Linked DNA regions of Arabidopsis thaliana. The protein of the gene in region 2 interacts with the protein of the main gene of each other region in a pairwise test. Each region holds a gene or a part of one and is shown on either strand. Other genes may lie near its edges.

Evidence for each region. The genes of interacting proteins can lie anywhere in the genome.
Region 1: the proteins of SK41 (region 2) and AT3G49810 interact in a two-hybrid assay, tested with the Arabidopsis thaliana proteins (one large-scale study listed by BioGRID).

What each region holds. Positions count from the first base shown.
Region 1 is NC_003074.8:18,472,258-18,480,450, forward strand, and holds AT3G49810 (ARM repeat superfamily protein), read right to left. Parts: upstream 4,776-8,193; 5' UTR 4,026-4,775; coding exon 2,679-4,025; 3' UTR 2,048-2,678; downstream 1-2,047. Other genes in the region: AT3G49800 (BSD domain-containing protein), read right to left, coding at 1-209, 457-644, 831-1,419. UniProt on the Arabidopsis thaliana protein: Functions as an E3 ubiquitin ligase.
Region 2 is NC_003070.9:3,194,004-3,204,341, forward strand, and holds SK41 (shaggy-like protein kinase 41), read right to left. Parts: upstream 6,401-10,338; 5' UTR 6,033-6,400; exon of another isoform or gene 5,621-6,032; 5' UTR 5,522-5,620; coding exon 5,378-5,521; intron 5,251-5,377; coding exon 5,158-5,250; intron 5,071-5,157; coding exon 5,011-5,070; intron 4,970-5,010; exon of another isoform or gene 4,926-4,969; coding exon 4,653-4,925; intron 4,515-4,652; coding exon 4,440-4,514; intron 4,006-4,439; coding exon 3,949-4,005; intron 3,881-3,948; coding exon 3,740-3,880; intron 3,644-3,739; coding exon 3,593-3,643; intron 3,324-3,592; coding exon 3,228-3,323; intron 2,781-3,227; coding exon 2,697-2,780; intron 2,615-2,696; coding exon 2,512-2,614; intron 2,200-2,511; coding exon 2,111-2,199; 3' UTR 1,716-2,110; downstream 1-1,715. Other genes in the region: PUR2 (Glycinamide ribonucleotide (GAR) synthetase), read right to left, coding at 174-547, 660-933; XBCP3 (xylem bark cysteine peptidase 3), read left to right, coding at 7,845-8,262, 8,706-8,941, 9,042-9,182, 9,268-9,699, 9,786-9,872; PUP16 (purine permease 16), read right to left, coding at 10,133-10,338. UniProt on the Arabidopsis thaliana protein: May mediate extracellular signals to regulate transcription in differentiating cells.

The DNA.
Region 1 (8,193 bases), on a different chromosome or scaffold from region 2:
AACTCAGATCTCTCAGCCGAATGTATTGTTTCGACAGTGATCGTTTTCACAGGTTCTGGTTCTGATTTGGGTGAAGGATTAGTAGGTTGAAAAAGAGGTTCCACATTTTCACTATCAGCTCCTCTATCACTACTCTCTGGCACCACTACTGTATCTTTGTTTCTCTTACGCAACAGCTCGTGAGATAATAGTGCTCTTGATTCAAGTACCTTTATGAAAACGCAAAATCAGTAACTCACATCATAGAAGTTTCCCTCTTTCCCATTCTTATATCAAATAATTCACATTAAAAACTTGCAAACCTAATTCACATGCTACTAGTAAAGTTCATTATTAGCACAAAGAGAATCATCTATTCATTGAAACATAAAGCATAACATCCAAATAGCTCGAAAACTTTGTAAACAGAAGAAAAAGACAGTAATGATCAGCAGTGGTGTTGAGAATCAAGCTAACCTGAGGAGTTGAGAGAGTCAAGGCATCATGTTTGCTGAATATAGGATGCACAAGTACAAAGTAAATCCTCCAGAAGCAATACTCGCTCATGTACGCAGGACAAAGCTCAATCCTCAAAGCAGCCAGACTCGATGCAAGATTCTCCACAGCCAACGCATGCTCATATTGGGCATCAGTCATTTCAAAGTCTGATCATAACAGTTGTAAAATACCACTTAACAACAACACCTTCATATAAAACAAACCCTAAACTCTAAAGTGATCAGAAAAAACTCTCAAATACGGAATATCTAAGTCTAGACCATAGTAGATTCCCTCATCAACATAATCGATTACAAATTAGTGTCGAATCTGCTGCGAAATCGAAAACGTACCATCAAAGTTATCATCCTCGTCAGGAAAAGGAAAATCAAGCCAAGTCTCAGGATGCAGAGCAAGATCTCTAGCAAACAAAACTACTTCCTCCGTCACACCAATTGCATTTCCAATCGCAACATCACGGTTCTTCGAATCCACACCTTCCGATCCCAATTGCAAGAAATTCGAAGCCATATTTGTAAACTTCGATACCGGTAAGTTTCCAGAGAGTTTCGAGATCCCAGTCTTAAATCTACCTCCGATCTCAACGAAATCGTTCCTGATTCCAGCAATCAGATCCTCATCACCTTCCGCGAGATCCGATGACTTCCGAGTCTCCTCATCCACATGATCCGCCGTATCGGAAGAAGAAGGAGGTGGCGCGAGGAAAGAAGCAACGCCCCATAGCTGACTTCTTAAGGTCTTGGTGAGTTCAGAGATGTCTTCCTTCACGCCTCGTGGAGACTGTGTTTGCAACACCGATGGCGAAGACGGTTGATCTGAGCCGGAATTTTCAATCGAATTGGTCTTAATCGTTTCCTTTTGATCATATTCTTCCTCATCGATCTTCAGAGAATTCGCAATGGATCTAGCAAGCCATGCCATTTTTTTGGGGATCTCTCACAAGTCTCTCGAGTATCTCTCTCTTAATCCGCGACCTTTAACGAGACACCATTGACGCTAAATATTCAACCTTACGAAACGTCGTCGCTGGATTAGTTAATGAGCTACGTAAAAATAGCCCATAAGATTGAAAGTCCAGCCCATCTAGGGGCTAGGGTATGCGGGACACCATTCAATTTAAGAAACGTCGTTGTTTAATTATGCAAATGGGCTTAGTAGCTAAAGCCCATAAGGTACAATATCTAGCCCATCTATAGGTTTGGTTACTGTTATTCTCTGTTACAGAGTTTTATATGTCAAGACAAAAACTCTCACATCACACTGTGTTATACACAAACCCACTCAAAACAGAGATTTGCTCAGACTCATTTCCAAAAACAGGACAAGTAAAATAAGCCTATGTTTATTTTTGTGTTAAAAAACAGTAGAAATTGTTGAATGATTCACTTGTCAAATCTCACATTTCTTTTCAATTGTTCATTACAACAGTAGTAGTTCAGAACAATGTATGGAGACTTTTGGTCTCCACCACAACTTATGTGCTCTACTTATTAGACAAGAATCAAAATTCACATCATACTGTACTTTGAGATGTCACTCTATGCAATAACAGTGATTGATTTTTCAAGAATCACGTTTTTGATATTTACTTCGTTGAAGACAATAAGGAGGCTGAGAACAAAGATGAAATCATGACAATTGTCTAATTCCTAATCTAAGTAAAGCTAAAAGAAAACATTGAATGAAGAAAAAAAGATTCAAAAGCTTAAAAGAGGCTTCTACAAGTTCAGGGTCAAAGATTTTGCTTTTTTTTTTTTTTTTTTTTCTCTGTTGTGAATGGTCAAAAAGCAAAACAACCTCTCACAAGAACCCAAAGTAGAGAGGTTTAACTTAATATGGTTCCTTTCTTCAAATTCTTCTTTTTCTTTGTTCTTCTGAAATTGATTTGAGCCAGAGGCGGTAACTTTACACAGTTTTTTTCTAATTCCCAATGCTTATTGCAAAACGAACCAATATGGTAACATTACATACCGATCCCTCAACCACCCGGTTTCTTCGTCTTCCCCATGTTTCCATCAGCTGATTGCCTCTTCCTTTGAATTGTTACCACCAAAACCAATAGCTCAATCTTCAAACTCATCATCTATATATACATCAGGGCAAAGGCAGATTCGTAATGCAATGCACATTTACCGTTTCATGGATAACCCGCTGAATCCTGTGATCAATCAGTGCCAATGCTATTGGATTGTCCTTGTGAGTTTGCATTTGGAAATAAACATGGTGTCTGAATAATGTAGACTACAAAGCTTAAGTAGCTCTGCTGACCGCTGCTTCAACGCTGCATCACACCCGCTCTGGATCACGAGTAACAGCTTTGCAGCAAGACCAACCTCAACAGCAAGTGGTGAACATTCTTCTGGAGCTAATTTGCAGACAGACCAAAGAATCGACAGCGCGTAGTTAGTGCAATTCTCAGACACCCTCATCAGCACCCTAACTGTATAAGGTATTGTGTTTGCAGAGTCTTTGACAGCAACTCTTCCTTCCACGTCTGTACACAAAGCATCAAGAACAAACAGAGCTAACTCCAAACATTCCGGGTCTAAAGACGGTAAGATATCAACTAATTGAGGCACTGCTCCAATGCTAACCATCAAGCTTCGAACTTGTTTATGAACCGAAATCGGTTTAAGCAACCGAAGTGCAGGAGATACTCCATTTCTATGTCTCTTATCCTTAACCAATCTCATTAACCCAACAAGCAAACTATGACTTGAAACAAGCTCTGCTCTAAACCCTTTCTCTTCCACCAATCCTCTAATCAATCTAGCACAATTGATCTTAGTCTCATTAGATCCATCATTCAACATATCAACAATCAAAGAAACCTTAGCTGGTTGCATCAAGCCGGATTTCGAATCAGAATCAAGATCAAGACTCACAAGAATAGCAACAACCTCAGATCCAACAGCATGAGAAGTAAAAGGACCCAAAAGAGAAGAGATCACAGAGACACCACCTTCTTCAACAACAGTCTTCCTCGCCATAAGATGAGCAATAACAATCTGTTTAAGCTCACTCAAAGCATGAACCCTAGCTTGACCTTTAGCTTTCTTCAAAGTCCCCAAAATCTCAATAGCTCGTCCTTGAACATCCTCAGAACGTTTCTTCATCAACACATACTTCTGAGAGAACCAAGTATAGATCAAATGATGAAGAGTTTTATTAGGAGTTACCGTATCATCCCAAAGCTCTTGCATTGTAGTAGGACAAGTCAAGTGACCTAGGTTAAACCATTTGTGAATGTTTAACCTTTCATAGGTTTGACCAGTACACAAAGTCACAGGATCTTGCATCGGCTCTAAGGAGATAGGACAAATGAAAACAGAAGGTATATCTTGTAAATCTAGCTCCTTTATCATCTTCTTCAGATCCAATTTCTCATCAACAACTCCAACACCACCACCATTAACACCACCGAGAACTCCATCTTTCACTGCAGTATCCAGATCTAAGACTTGCCCATCACCACCACCTTCAAATCCTATTAACCCATCTCTCTTTAACGGCTGAAACATCGGCATTTCGATAGAATCTATAGAAACAAAAAAATCTCAATAAAAAAACAGACTTTTCTTCTCAAACTCACAACATTTGGGAAAATAATGTGAGCTGAAAAAGAAACGCATGTCTTTATCTCAGAAAGAAGCGTTAAAACAACAACAACAACACAATCTTCTTCTTCTTCTTTTTCCTCTTTGCTTTAATTTAGTTTTTCTCTTTTCAACGGTCAAAAAGAAGATTCATTCAACTCTTGTTAATAATATAACATCATAAACACATGATTGAAACCCAACTGCTCCCAAAAAAAATGTGAATTTTATAACCACAAATTTCGAGAAACAGAAAAAAGGAGGAATCATGAAGAATAATGAGAAGGAAACCAAAAAAAAATCAACGAACCCAGTACAAAGGTTTGAACTTTCAATACCAGAAAATCTCAAAAGATAAAAAAGGAAGAGAATTTGAGAAAACCCAGATGACGAAATCAAAAATAAATTCACGAATTCGTGAGAATGACGAAGAAGAAACCCGTACTCTCTCTTTTGTTTGTTTGTTTCTCTCTTACCTTCTTCTGAGGTAGTGTGAGTGATTGTTTTGTTTTTGTTTCTTTGAGAGGAAAAAAAAATGGGGTGAATAAAATAAAAAGGAGAAAAAAGGGGAGAGATTAAAGATTTGTTGAAAGATTCGGGTGGAAAATCTAAAAAAATTAAAGATAAGGTGACCGGTGAATTCACTGGTTATAGCCGGTCATTTAGTCCTCTCGACTCGCGTACCACACGTGCAAGCTACACCACATGTGACATGCCCTCACCTCCCGGTTTTATTATAATACAACTCTCTTTTTTAATTACCATTGAAAAACTCAGCTTAATAATTTTGATTTCCAATTTTGTCCCTACCTTTTATAGTTTTAAAACGTAATTAATTAGGCAACCAAGAAAATTCTCCCAATAATAAAGAATTAGTAATTTTAAACACATTATTTCAGTCAAATTATACAGGAGATGTAATTGTTCCTTCCAATAAAGTGTGGAATAAACACTTTGGTATGTGAATGAATAGTTTTAGTTTTTTCTGATAATATTTTGGATTTAAAATTGGGAATATCCTTTAATTAGTCAAAAAAAGACAACAGTGAAATTCTAAATTTTCTTTTAGCTTTTTTTTTCTTAATATCCACGCTAACTAAGGATAAATACTTTTCCCATTTATGTTAAAAAGATGTTTGTTAAGGTTAAGGATTTTGTTAAAAAAACAAAAAAAATGTTGAAGGATAAACAAAAATGAGGGTAAAGTGGTAAAAATGAAAGAGTAAAGAAAATCCGGCAACGTAGTCAAAAAAGCTGAGAAGTTTGCACTAAACTCCAAACACCCACGGGGAAGAGTAACCCGTACAGGTCGGGGCACGTGTGACGATAATTTCTATGTTTAATTTCTTAATTACTTTTTTAATTTCAATCTTATCATCGTTATTAATTCCAAAGGAACAACTCTTGATTTTTTGTTTGTTATACCAATACCTTCCTTCACCTCTTTTTAGTATATAAAAAAAATTAAAACTGAAAAAAAAAACCGAAACCGATTACCCGAACCGAAACCGACCCAAATAATTGGATCTAAAACCGAATCCGAATCGAAAGATTTATTATATTGAATTCTAAATTCCTAAACTAAAAAAATCGAATCCAACCACAATCCAAAAATACTCAAATATTTTTATTCGAAAATATAAATTTTACCTTAAACCCAAAATTTTATCCGAAAATTCAAGTATTTACCCGAATATATTCGAACCCAATTAAATCTAAACCTATATTTTAGATTTATTATATTAAATTCTAACCCAAACGGATATTTCCCTATAATATTACTTCAAAAAAAATTATAATAGCTATTAAAAAAGCTTATTGCCAAACAACTTTTTGAATCGATTTAATCTGCTGACGAATAAGAATTTTTATATAAAAACAACATTTAAAAATTGGTTAAATTGTTTCACATAATTGCAGTTTCAAAATAAAAAAGTTTTAAAAATAAATATTTTTTTGAGAAATATACTTTATAAATATCACACACTATTAGAAAAGAAAAAAAAAACAGAGAGGAGTGAGATGGGGACCACAAACAAAAGTGCCAGCTAGACATAATATTTGACCGTGACAGTGTCTTGCTTTGACTATAAGCGTCGATCGTCTCCGGGTCTAATCTCTTTGCCCCCTTTGACTGTTCCTTTTACCCAATCATATCCCACCACGTGTCCACATCTGCCTCTTCCCCACCCAACCTTCATTTGTTAATTAATTTGGTTTTCAAATTTTTCATATTTTTAACAAAACAAACTCTCTACCAAATCAAGATAATTTAATAATAAAACTTGGAAATTGATGGGAGTGGGGATAGAGAAAGAGATAGAGATCTGTAAGAGAGACCATGTGTTCTTTTTGTTGCAGTTGAGTACTGACCCATAACTGCAAAGTTTGCTGTCCAAACATATATTTTTATTTATTATTTCATTGAAAAATATATTGATTACTTATTACTGGACCCATTTTTGAAATGAAATTGCAGATTCAAATGAAATGATTTTCAGAGTTGTTGATAATGATAAAACCAAAAATTTTGTGTCTATGACGTTTTTTTTTTCTAGTCAAACTAAGATGATATACTAAAGTGGACCGGCAAGTGTTTAAATGTGATATGACTTGTTTTGTAATCAAGTTTTTTTAGCCTTTGGGATGATGGGAGATTGATAGTGATATTATAAAAATATAATAACAATAACTATATCAAAAAACAAAATTGATTTAACATATCATCTAAGTAGTAATACGGACCGAGTGCTAATGACTGGTGTGAGTGGTGGTGACTAGAGGTGGACCTACGAATAAAAGCGTAACCATTTCATGAAAACGAAGTGACGAAAATTCAACTACTGTGTGTCGTATTTTCGTTGTTGGGATCAACAGTTTTTAATACGTGTGTTGAATTTGTTCTTGTTTTATGTTTGTTGAGCTAGAAGGTTTCAAATTATGAAAGAATGAACTGACACTAACCAATTAAGTGGTGGTCTAGTGGTAGACGTCGACATTTCAAAAGAGGTAGGTATGATTTCTGATTCAAGTCTTGTTTGGGACAAGATGATTTACGCATGTCTGCATTGTATACTTACGTATAATATCAATCGCTGCAACATGTAATGGAGATCGAGACTACTAGCTCTTAATTTATGAGCTAAATATATAAAGAAACTGACTCTAATGACACTTAATCATGTAGATTCTTCGACTTGATGGGGATGAGTGGGCTCTAAAGACATGATGCACTGAGCAGTTCGTGATTTTGGAGAATGTGAGGAAAGGTAACTATAGGAATTGATCACTAATTCGATGGTATATCGGATTGGCAATGTAACACTCATAACTTTTGATGGTAGAGAGTTTGTGGATGTCAAATATCGTTCAACTATGAGAAATAACTTGACTTCTATAGTTCTATGAGAATACAGTGAAATAATGCCACTTTAGGTAATGAGGTTTTGTTGTGTCAATTTATAATGATGATGACTGCAACTAATACAATAGAAATACTCTTGTATCAACTTAAAATCGTTGCGGAAAAGGTTCAATTTGTGTCTAAACATATATGAGATCACATTGTTAATTGTATAGCAGATTCAAACATATGTTTTAAAGAAAATGAATTTACTGATATAGAAGGGACTAATAAAAGGCAAGAAAATTCGTAGGTCGATTATGGAAGATTAATGAAAAATAACAAACTAATTCAACAATAACATAGTTCTAATCAAATTGTTTTTTTCTTGCTTTGTCGTTATGACTTTATGCCATTTTATTCTACCATTTTTGTCTACGCTTTCGTCATTCTCGGTGTTACCAATCGAGCCCATGACATCGGTAAACATGAATACACTATAATGCATTGCCTACGCATATGTTTATCTTTAGTATTTTAGGCTTTAGCTCATTTATTTTAACGTTAAAGAAGTGTGAAACAATCTTTTAATAAATGCAAAAGTAGAAGCACGAAGGAATAAAAAAGGTATATACCGCATTCCTACGCGTATTCTATATGTTTGATTTTCTAGCCATTTTAGCTTTGGACTGTCACGTGAGTCGTGACGCTCTACCCCCTAAATCTATGTCTATAGTAGTATGTACATATCAGACA
Region 2 (10,338 bases):
ACAGCTATAACCTGCTACATTAAGTACTAGGCTAGATTAAAGCAGACCTATAGCTAACAGTTGAACACTTCAAAGCTTATAATCTTTACATAGCAACCTTATGGATCCTAACACAGCAAGGGAAGAAATTGGTAACCATCAGGGATAAATGAAAAAGAGAAAGCGACGCAAACCTTAGCAGTAGGGATATTGTACTTGTGGCAAAGATTCTTCATAAAGTTCTTGGAACCTTCCAAAGCAGCAGCTTGAGAAGAAGGGCCAAAGGTGAGGATACCGGCCTTAACAAGGTCATTAGCGAGACCAGCAACAAGAGGCACTTCAGGGCCAACAACCACTAAACCAACATTCCATTTCTGACAGAAAGAGATGACAGCTAAACTGTCTGATATGTCAAGGTCAGGTACACAAGTGGCATCTCCGGAACTGGATATACCGGCGTTTCCAGGTGCGCATAACACAGAATCACAAGAAGGAGACCGCTTCAAGGCGTGGCAAAGGGCGTGTTCTCTCCCTCCTCCACCAATTACAAGAACATTCACTCTCTCTTCTGCAGAAATCGAAATCGATATTACTATATAATCAATGGCGTTCAAATTCGATATCTTTACAATAACATTCAACCAAGTTTGTTAATTCATAATGAGCAAAAGGGTATTTACCAGAGCCGCCGTTACCGATAGAAAGAGACGGCTGAGATTCTTCTGAAACGCATCGGAGCAAAAAAAGGCGTCTTTGGATTCGGTTCGAAGAGAAACGAGAGTTACTAAGGACGTGATTGGTAGTAGAGAATTTGAGAGGAGCAACAAATGGAAGAGAATTGGAGGAGGCGAATCTGAGGGAGAGAAGAAAGGGTTTAGTTGGGTTGTTGTTGTTGGAGAAGAGATTGATAGAAGAAGATGAAGGATAGCAATTAGATGCACACAACGACGACATGGAGGGAGACTGTCAAAGTAGAGGACTCTGGACTCGGACCAGCGTAGACAAGGGTTTAAAGTGGTTCCTCCCTTCTTGTTTTTGAGTTTACTTATTTTTTTGGTAGTTAAAGAATAAATACCAAATCAAATCGTGACCAATAAAACATCTTCATTGTATGTGTAATTTTGTTGTCTATTATTATTTGTAGACGCCGGTCCTGATAAGGCCCAATACAAAATAATTTTTTCTTTAATGAGTTTTGTTGATAAAAGTTAAAAATTAAGACTAAATCCTATAACTTTTAGAAAATAAAAAATAGATAAATTTAAAAATGGAGACTAAATATTAAAATTTTAGAATATAGGATATAGTTTTGCAATAACAAATTTTTTTGGAGGCCTAATTTTGTTACTAAAAAGCTTAAACTTTTGGAGGCCCAATACCCATGTATCTTGGGTCAAATAATATTTTTTAATTGATAATCACATTTAAGAGGAAGAGACTTCAACTGTTTCGACCAAACATCAAAACGTTGTCGGATCAGCTACTGGATCAAGATTCAAGAGAGAAAAGAAATTTAAACTTGGTGGGTTTGATGGGCTGAAAAGTTTTAATGTTGTTGGGCTGAGATTGATCCATGACTCTGTCATCTAAAACAGGTTTTGTCTGAAGTTCTGAACCTTTGTTTATGTTATGAGGTTTTCCTTGATATATACTATACGGTTCGCCATGACTGAAATATTGCTTCTGAGCTTTTGACCGGTAAGTATGAAGTACCAAATTCACGATCTGGAGGAAGACACGGCTATTTTCACGAAGGAATCGGTTTGATTTTCACAGAAACACAATGTGCAAACACATGAGCGGCAAAGTCATTAATTTTTAGTTGATTTTTCTTTTCTATTTGTAAAACTAAACGATGCAATTAATTTTGGTTAGTAATTTACATGCTTTAAAACAGTTTGCGATAGATAAGGTTATATGGTGGCCGTGAAACAAACAAGTGGTCTGTAACCAGCAAACCTCAAGTACTGTTTGTATTCATGCATCCTCATCGACATATAACCAACCAAACAGAAAAAAAATAAAGAAAAAGAACTCACCAAAAACAAAAGCCAAATGGCTGAAAACTGGCTGCTCCAAATATTGATATCAAGAGAGCTTGCTTATACAGATGCAAAAACCGATAAGCGTCTTACGAATGCAAAGCCATGAAGAGGTTCTGCTTACGGGCATGCTCTGGGACAAGCCTGTTCACGATTTCAGGAGGTATGCCAGATAGCTCTGCAACAACACATAAAACCTCAGTTCATGATTTTGAAGTACTGAAAGTTAAGGATGACAGGTTCATGTCTATGGAGAACAAAGTGTTTATATATTTTGCTTAGTAATCATATATTTCAGAGGCCACAACGGCACCATACTTGTTCAATTTATTTAGCATCCTCAATATTCAAAGAGCATATACTAACACTGAATGATGTTTATATGTATTACCAATCATGAACACAACGCAACATGTCAACAACTTAACGGAGCATACTACATATGTTAGATCTCTTAATAGGCCCAACAAGAAAAATAAGGGAACTGTACCTTGCGGTTTAAAGTTGAAAAGTGGAGGAAGTGGTCGGCCATTGGGAAGACGAGTGTTTGGGTCCCTTAGCTCATCAAATAACGGATGGATACAAGCTTCCAACTACAATAACACCAGAAGAGTGTTTTTAATGAATTTAGATCATTAGATGCTAATATGGAGGGAACGGAACGAATTAACTTACAGCTGTACATCTCAAATTGGGGGAATATTGGAAGAACCTACAAAGAAGATCAACTGCTTCTGGTGGCAAACGTTTTTGGAACACCTGAGCATAAATAGAATATTCATGCAGTAATAAGGATTCAGAGAGAAGCGAAGCTCAAGGAGATAATTATCACTGAAGTCAATTAAACCTTTTTTTACTATGGGAAAATAAAAAATCCTAGATACAGCTTAATGCAAAGTGCAAACCACCAAGTTGTAGAATGTCAGAGAACAAAATCCTGAAAACCATTTCCACCAGAGAGAAATACTCAAACTAGAACTAAAGCCACAATCATTTAGCCAATTGTTTTCAACTCTACCACAGATAGTTTTATAAAGCAGAGGAAATGACAACATTAATTTTATTTTTGATATTTACTCTTGAATGATTCATACTCCAAACCATCACAAATACCAGAACTCCTCTTTGAAAAAATGCATTCACCAACAAAACCACTGATTAAAGATTATTCTGGTAGGTGATAATCAATAACATTAGAAGGCATACCTTGTGCCATGGATGAGGTTTTATCTGCGGAAACTTAAATTCTGTATAGTTTGGATTCATGCACTTGATTTCTTCCCTTGTTGGTGTACCTAAAACCTGCATGACATATCAAAGCAAATGAAATAAGAAAACCAAGGTTTCCTCGAAATCAGACTGAGCAATCCAAAGGTTACTGCTTTCTTCTATACTGAATACGAACTCAACAATAGACGTAACAAATTGTGATGCCTAAGCCTAATAATCATTCAGATATAAAGTTGACAATCTGCACCTGTCTGCTACGTAAACAAAAGTTCTAAAAGAACTTATCACTTTATCAGGACTTGATGATTTTAGATAAATTTAAAGAATTAATAAAAGGCTACCTTAATGATTTCAACAAGCTGATCAACTCCGCTCTCACCAGGAAACAGAGGCTGTACGACAAATTAGCAAGGGCACAAAATAGTAAGACAAGGAATAAACTGAATGAATAGAACAACATATAGCTAATGCAAAAATCATGCTTTAACCTGTCCAAGAAGCAGTTCGGCCATCACACAACCAGTGGACCATATATCAATTGCAGTTGTGTATTCACTGGCACCAAAAATGAGTTCTGGAGCACGATAGTATCTAGAACAGATGTAAGAAACATTGGGTTCTCCTTTTACCTACAGAGAACGAGAACATGTCATACTCCAAGAATGAATTCGTTAAAAGCTGTGTCAATAAAACTTACCAACACTTTTGCACTCCCGAAATCACATATTTTTAGCTGATGCGTGTGTGGGTTCACCTGCACAACAACATCTGTAAAGTCAGATATATAAATGCATTTAAATTAACACCGAACAACTTTTTAGATAGCAATTCTAACTAGTTAGAATTTTTAAGCTCAGACATGTTACTCTAAGAACCCAGCTCAATTTCTCAAAGTTAATTTCAGAATCCAATTTTAACAACTAGCTTTCTCAATAATATAAACTCGAAAAGAGAAGCCTAGTTCCTCTGTGAAGGGAGTAAATGAAATTAAAAGTATTAAATCTCCAGGCCTGTTATAAACATACATCATGTCAGAATCCAAACCTAGTATGACATCTTTAATGTAAATAATATACGTGTCTATTTATCTCCTGCTCATAGAGCATTCAAACAAAAATAGGTTATAGCAAAAAAAAGGTCATCTGTTATATATTCCTTTCAAAACAGGGAGACGCAAATGGAACTTGCCAGCAGGTTTTGAGGCTTGATATCACGGTGACAAAGACCAAAGGAATTATGGATGTAAGCAAGCGCCCTGCAAATCTGTCACCATTAACAGAAACTTATCAAAAATGTTTGAAGAAAACCCAGCGGATTATCAATCTGGCATGCATTTACAAATATTATGAAGCAAAAACTACAAAAAAGATTAAAAAAGGTTCAAATGTAGGAAATAGTTACCTGATAGGTGTAGAGTTTAACATATATCAATGGCATCAGCTGGTTTGTCCTACTATAACTTCTTGCAACACGATTGACGGTCTCAGGCACAAATTCAAGGACAAGATTCAAATAAACCTCTTCGTTGTCTGTTCTTGAGAAAAAGCTATGCTTTAAAGCAACGGCATTGGGATGGTCTAGCATCTGCATTATTTGTAGCTCCCTGTTCTTGTAGCGTTTGTCTTGTAGAACCTTCTTGATGGCAACAACCTCCCCAGTTTCCCTACATTTAGCCTACCAAAAGGAAACATAAATGTGCAGGGGAATGGAGCCAAATCAATAGAACGAACATCATGGGTCTTATGTTAAATTAGCTCACTTGGAAAACCATGCCAAAGGAACCAGTACCAACAACATGTTCTGATATGTAACTGACTGTCTGCCAATCCAAAAAAAATCTATATGAGAAACAGTTAGATAAACTACATTACCAACTAACACATACAATTATCCATAACCATCCAACCTGTCTTGATTGACCATTTCGACCACGGAGTGTGGTTCTAATCACATGACCAGGCTCAGCACCAGCCCCATCAATAATATCTGGTTCACTATCCTGCAACGTAACGAAAACCTCAGACACTGTAACCAACTCCATAACATATATAAGCTCAGGATAAAGAAGTGAAGCTAAAAAACAGTTGAATAAACATGAAAAAAAGAAGAAGCAATGCAAGACTTACTCTCTCATCATCGGTCTCTACTTTGTCCCTTATCCTCGTCTCAGCCAAATCTCTGGTCAACCAATCGACAGAACTAGAAGAGCTCTTTAAACCTTTGGCAGATCTCGAAGTGCCTACTCCATTTCCCAGTCCAGAGGATGCCATGATATATATTCAGAAGATAACACGTACTACTAGTAATTGATAGCATCATAAACCCATGGTGATTTCTTGGTGTCCCATCCCATCAAAGAGCCGATCTTCCTAGTAGAATTTGTAGGCCCATTTGCATTAAATAAGGTGTGTTATTATATCTCAAGTATCTTGATCATTAGCTAAATCATGAACACATACAAAAAAAAGTAAACTTGTGTAAGCACTGATGAACTTTGAACTAGTGGTGAATTGATACACTGTAAAACCTAGCCCAATAGAGACAGATCAGATCTACTGCCGACTAGAATTGATTTGAAATCGACAAGGTTTGGTTTGAAAACTGAAATTCTATAGCCAAAAGCAGCTCAGAAAATCAGCAAAACAGTTACTAGTACCCAGAAGAACCCTAGTTCAACAACAACTCAGAAAAAAAGCACATTGAGAGAATAAAGAGCGAAACTTTGGAAAAGATTCGCAGTGATATGATTAGGTAGAAGAGTAAAATAAAAATGATCATCACCTTGAGCTGTCGTGAAGAAGAACTGAAACCAAAGTCAAGCATTTGACGATTGTCTTTTCTTCTTCTTTCTTCAATTGAAGAGCTTCACATAAATATATAAAATAGAATATTTCTCGGTGAATGATCGGATTGAGAAAAAAGCTAAACCTTTAGATTCTTCAAGCGTTAATTTTGTTTTCCCAACTTCTTCACACCTTCTTTGTCGATTTCTATCGTTTTGAATCAAACGAGAATATGAGACGACAGCTCATCATTATAAGCATCATATATTAATCTTTTTCTTATATTTATGTTTCTATAAGATTTTTATTTATGCTTAGTTATATATTTTTTCCTTCAAAAAATTAATTAGACCTTGTTAAAATTTCATACTATACTTTTTAATGGATGTCCCCAAATATCATAACAACTGGAACTCAATTTTCAAACCTCAGCCTACCTAATTTTTGTAACCGGATATTCAAACTTTTTGGTGTACAACTTATTTCAACTATAGTGGAAAATTTACAAAAGAAAACAACATTTTGTGATTACTAGAAATCGCTTCAAATGTATGTTTTTGTCAACACATTCGAGCCTCCACTCCAAAATGCATCTATATGGGATTTATATTCTAATATGTGCCTTTTGATTTTTGAGATACGATAAAACAACAATATATTCTTGGAATTTTCTAGTGAATTAAAATACTGTTGTAGGGCAAAAAATAATTTCAAAAAAATAAAGCCACTTTCGTATTTGCTGGTTATTATATAGTAAAAGTCGCCTTTACTTGTCGACAGTTAGGTAAGGCTTAACACATCACACTTCTTTTTGTGTGTGTGGCGATGGAGATTTTGTATCGGGTTTTATTAGTGATATTAAAGCTTAAGGATGTATTTTTTTTATCTGCAATTGGTTTTATCATAATATAAGCCTTCTAAATACGAAAAGATTGATCAAATACATTCCCGTTTTCACAAAAGTGAAGTTAATTATTTTTGCTTTGGTGAGCTCTCTCGAAAATACACGTTAGGCATGCACATTGCTTTGGTTACTACTACTCTCTGGTCTCCGCGTGATCTTATTTACTAATTAGAATAAGCAAAAAAGGGCTAAATGCAATAAAGTCGTAAGTAGGTCCAAAGTGTACTGCTCATCAGCCTACACAAATAGGGAGTGGTGGTCTTATAACCTAAAAAGGCTAAAGTTGCTTTCTTTTGCTTAATAAAGTATCGTAGATATATTACCCATTTAACAATGATTTTAGTGTTGACCAAACAACAACAAAACAATGATTTACGATAGTACTGTGTGTATGTAGTTGGATTGGAAGCTAAATGTGTTAGGCTTTTGATTGCCATTGGCCTCTCCGGCCCGGTCCTGAGCCCGTGAATGATGAGGATAATACTGACAAGTCCGCATTTTTTTTATTAAACAAACATTCAAATTTTGATAATGATCGTTTTTTTATGTTAAAAGGCTTTCATGATAATGAACGTACTTATTAACATTACATTATGTTTGTAATGCATATTTCACAATATGTATAATTAAATTTAGCAATTTAAAATTTTCTGGTGGCAAAGTTGTGGATAATTCTAGCTACATCCCTCCTATTTACACACGTGGTTCACTTCTTCTGCCTCAATCATTTTGTTCGGCAATTTTTCAACGCCAAACGCTTTTTGTTTAAAACGCCAACGCAAAACCAGCGTTTTGTAATCTTATTGGCTAAATCTCAAAAGAAATGGGAAAAAACAAATCTCCAGGCTATTCCTTATTTCTAGGCCAAAACTATCTCCACGATTCTAACAAACAAAAATTACAGAAATGTCAATGTCATCGTCCTCCTTTATCTCTCTCACTTTCTTCTTCCTTCTTCTCGTTTCTTCATCGTCATCTTCCGATGACATCTCTGAGCTATTCGACGACTGGTGCCAGAAACATGGCAAAACGTACGGTTCAGAAGAAGAGAGGCAACAGAGGATTCAAATCTTTAAAGATAATCACGACTTCGTTACGCAACACAATCTCATCACTAACGCTACTTACTCTCTCTCTCTCAATGCTTTCGCGGATCTGACTCACCACGAGTTCAAGGCTTCTCGTCTTGGTCTCTCTGTTTCCGCTCCGTCGGTGATAATGGCTAGTAAGGGACAGAGTCTCGGTGGTAGCGTAAAGGTTCCAGATTCTGTTGATTGGAGAAAGAAGGGAGCTGTTACTAATGTCAAAGATCAAGGAAGCTGCGGTATTTGATTTAACTTTCTTCTTCATCAAAATTTCAGATTTGATTGGAGTTTATAGTTCAGCGACTTAGGATGTGATTCAAGAACTTTAAGATTGGATTTAGATCGGAGAAAGTCTTAAACTTTAGAATCTTTGATGGTGCAGATTCATCTTCTGTGGTTATTTAGTACGTATGCTACAAGAAGACCAATCATGACGTAGTTTGTCACACTAATCTAATTTTGCATCTCTTTTTGTCCTTTTTAGGAGTATAATAAGAGAAAGTATGCGAGTAATATAGTGATTGAACTTTTTAGGAAAGTCTAGAAGCAATTATCATTGTATCTTTTATGAAAGTTATTGTTTCATAGAGTAGGCAATGTAGGAATTTGGTCTCAGAAATAGTAAATTTGTTCTCAGATGAATCCATAGTTGATTATTTGAGTTGATGATGATTATTTATAGGGGCATGTTGGTCGTTCTCGGCGACTGGAGCTATGGAGGGAATTAACCAGATAGTAACAGGAGATCTCATCAGCCTCTCTGAGCAGGAACTGATTGATTGTGACAAGTCCTACAATGCTGGCTGTAATGGTGGTCTCATGGACTATGCTTTTGAATTTGTCATTAAAAACCATGGAATAGACACAGAGAAAGACTATCCTTATCAAGAACGTGATGGCACCTGTAAGAAGGATAAGGTATCTGTTTAGCTGTTTCTCCTTGTTTTAATTTCTCTTCCCTGTTTGTTTCCTTGATCTTTGACATCACTAACTTACACAAGTCTCTTTTGTTCTGCAGTTGAAACAAAAGGTTGTGACAATTGATAGCTATGCTGGTGTAAAATCAAATGATGAGAAAGCGTTAATGGAGGCTGTAGCGGCTCAGCCAGTTAGTGTTGGCATCTGTGGAAGCGAGAGAGCGTTTCAGCTATATTCTAGTGTAAGTTGTAAGATTAGTGATCAACCTACTCTATTTTCTGAATGTTCAACGTCTCATTGTTTAGAAATTTTACCTTTTGATGCAGGGAATATTCTCTGGCCCGTGTTCGACATCATTGGATCATGCTGTGCTCATAGTAGGATATGGTTCACAGAATGGTGTTGATTATTGGATTGTGAAAAACTCATGGGGAAAAAGTTGGGGAATGGATGGGTTTATGCACATGCAGCGTAACACTGAAAATTCAGACGGCGTTTGCGGAATCAACATGCTTGCTTCATATCCCATCAAGACACATCCAAACCCGCCTCCACCGTCCCCTCCTGGCCCTACAAAATGCAACCTTTTCACGTATTGTTCATCTGGAGAGACTTGTTGCTGTGCAAGAGAATTGTTTGGTTTATGCTTCTCATGGAAATGCTGCGAGATAGAATCCGCTGTGTGTTGCAAGGATGGTCGTCATTGTTGTCCACATGATTACCCTGTTTGTGATACAACCAGAAGTCTCTGCCTTAAGGTATTTTAGCTGTGGATATATGCATACTGATCACGATGCCTACTTCTATGTTTTGTTGACTGATGAAGCTATTTCTTTTCTGACAGAAAACTGGTAATTTCACTGCGATCAAGCCCTTCTGGAAGAAGAATTCTTCAAAACAACTTGGCCGATTTGAGGAATGGGTTATGTGAGAGAAGTTTTACGCACATGTTACAGAAAATTCAAACTCATCCATACAAAAACCTCGTAGATTCGATTATCTGCGAGGGGATTATTTGTAGCTGTTATTGAGATAGATATATACGATATCATCACGGATGTATTTTTAGTCTCTCATTTGGATGTATACAACTTCTGAGTCAATAAAGGACACTTGCAGGACAAGCACAGTATTTGTATCTGCAAGACACATAAAGTAATAAGAGTATCATCTATGTATATTATAGAGAGACTAAGCTTCACTGTTGTTGTTCTCTCTCTTGTTCAGTTCTGCGATCTCCTTCTTCTTTTTTGTGTGCAGGGAGTAGAAGTAAGAAGCTAGAGCCAAGACCGCCCCTAGCAAAGCACCTCTTCTCTGCCAACCAAATTCATCGTCCATGAAATCAAAAGCCAACACAACTAGCAGAGCCACAACCGGTGAAGCACCCATATGAACAA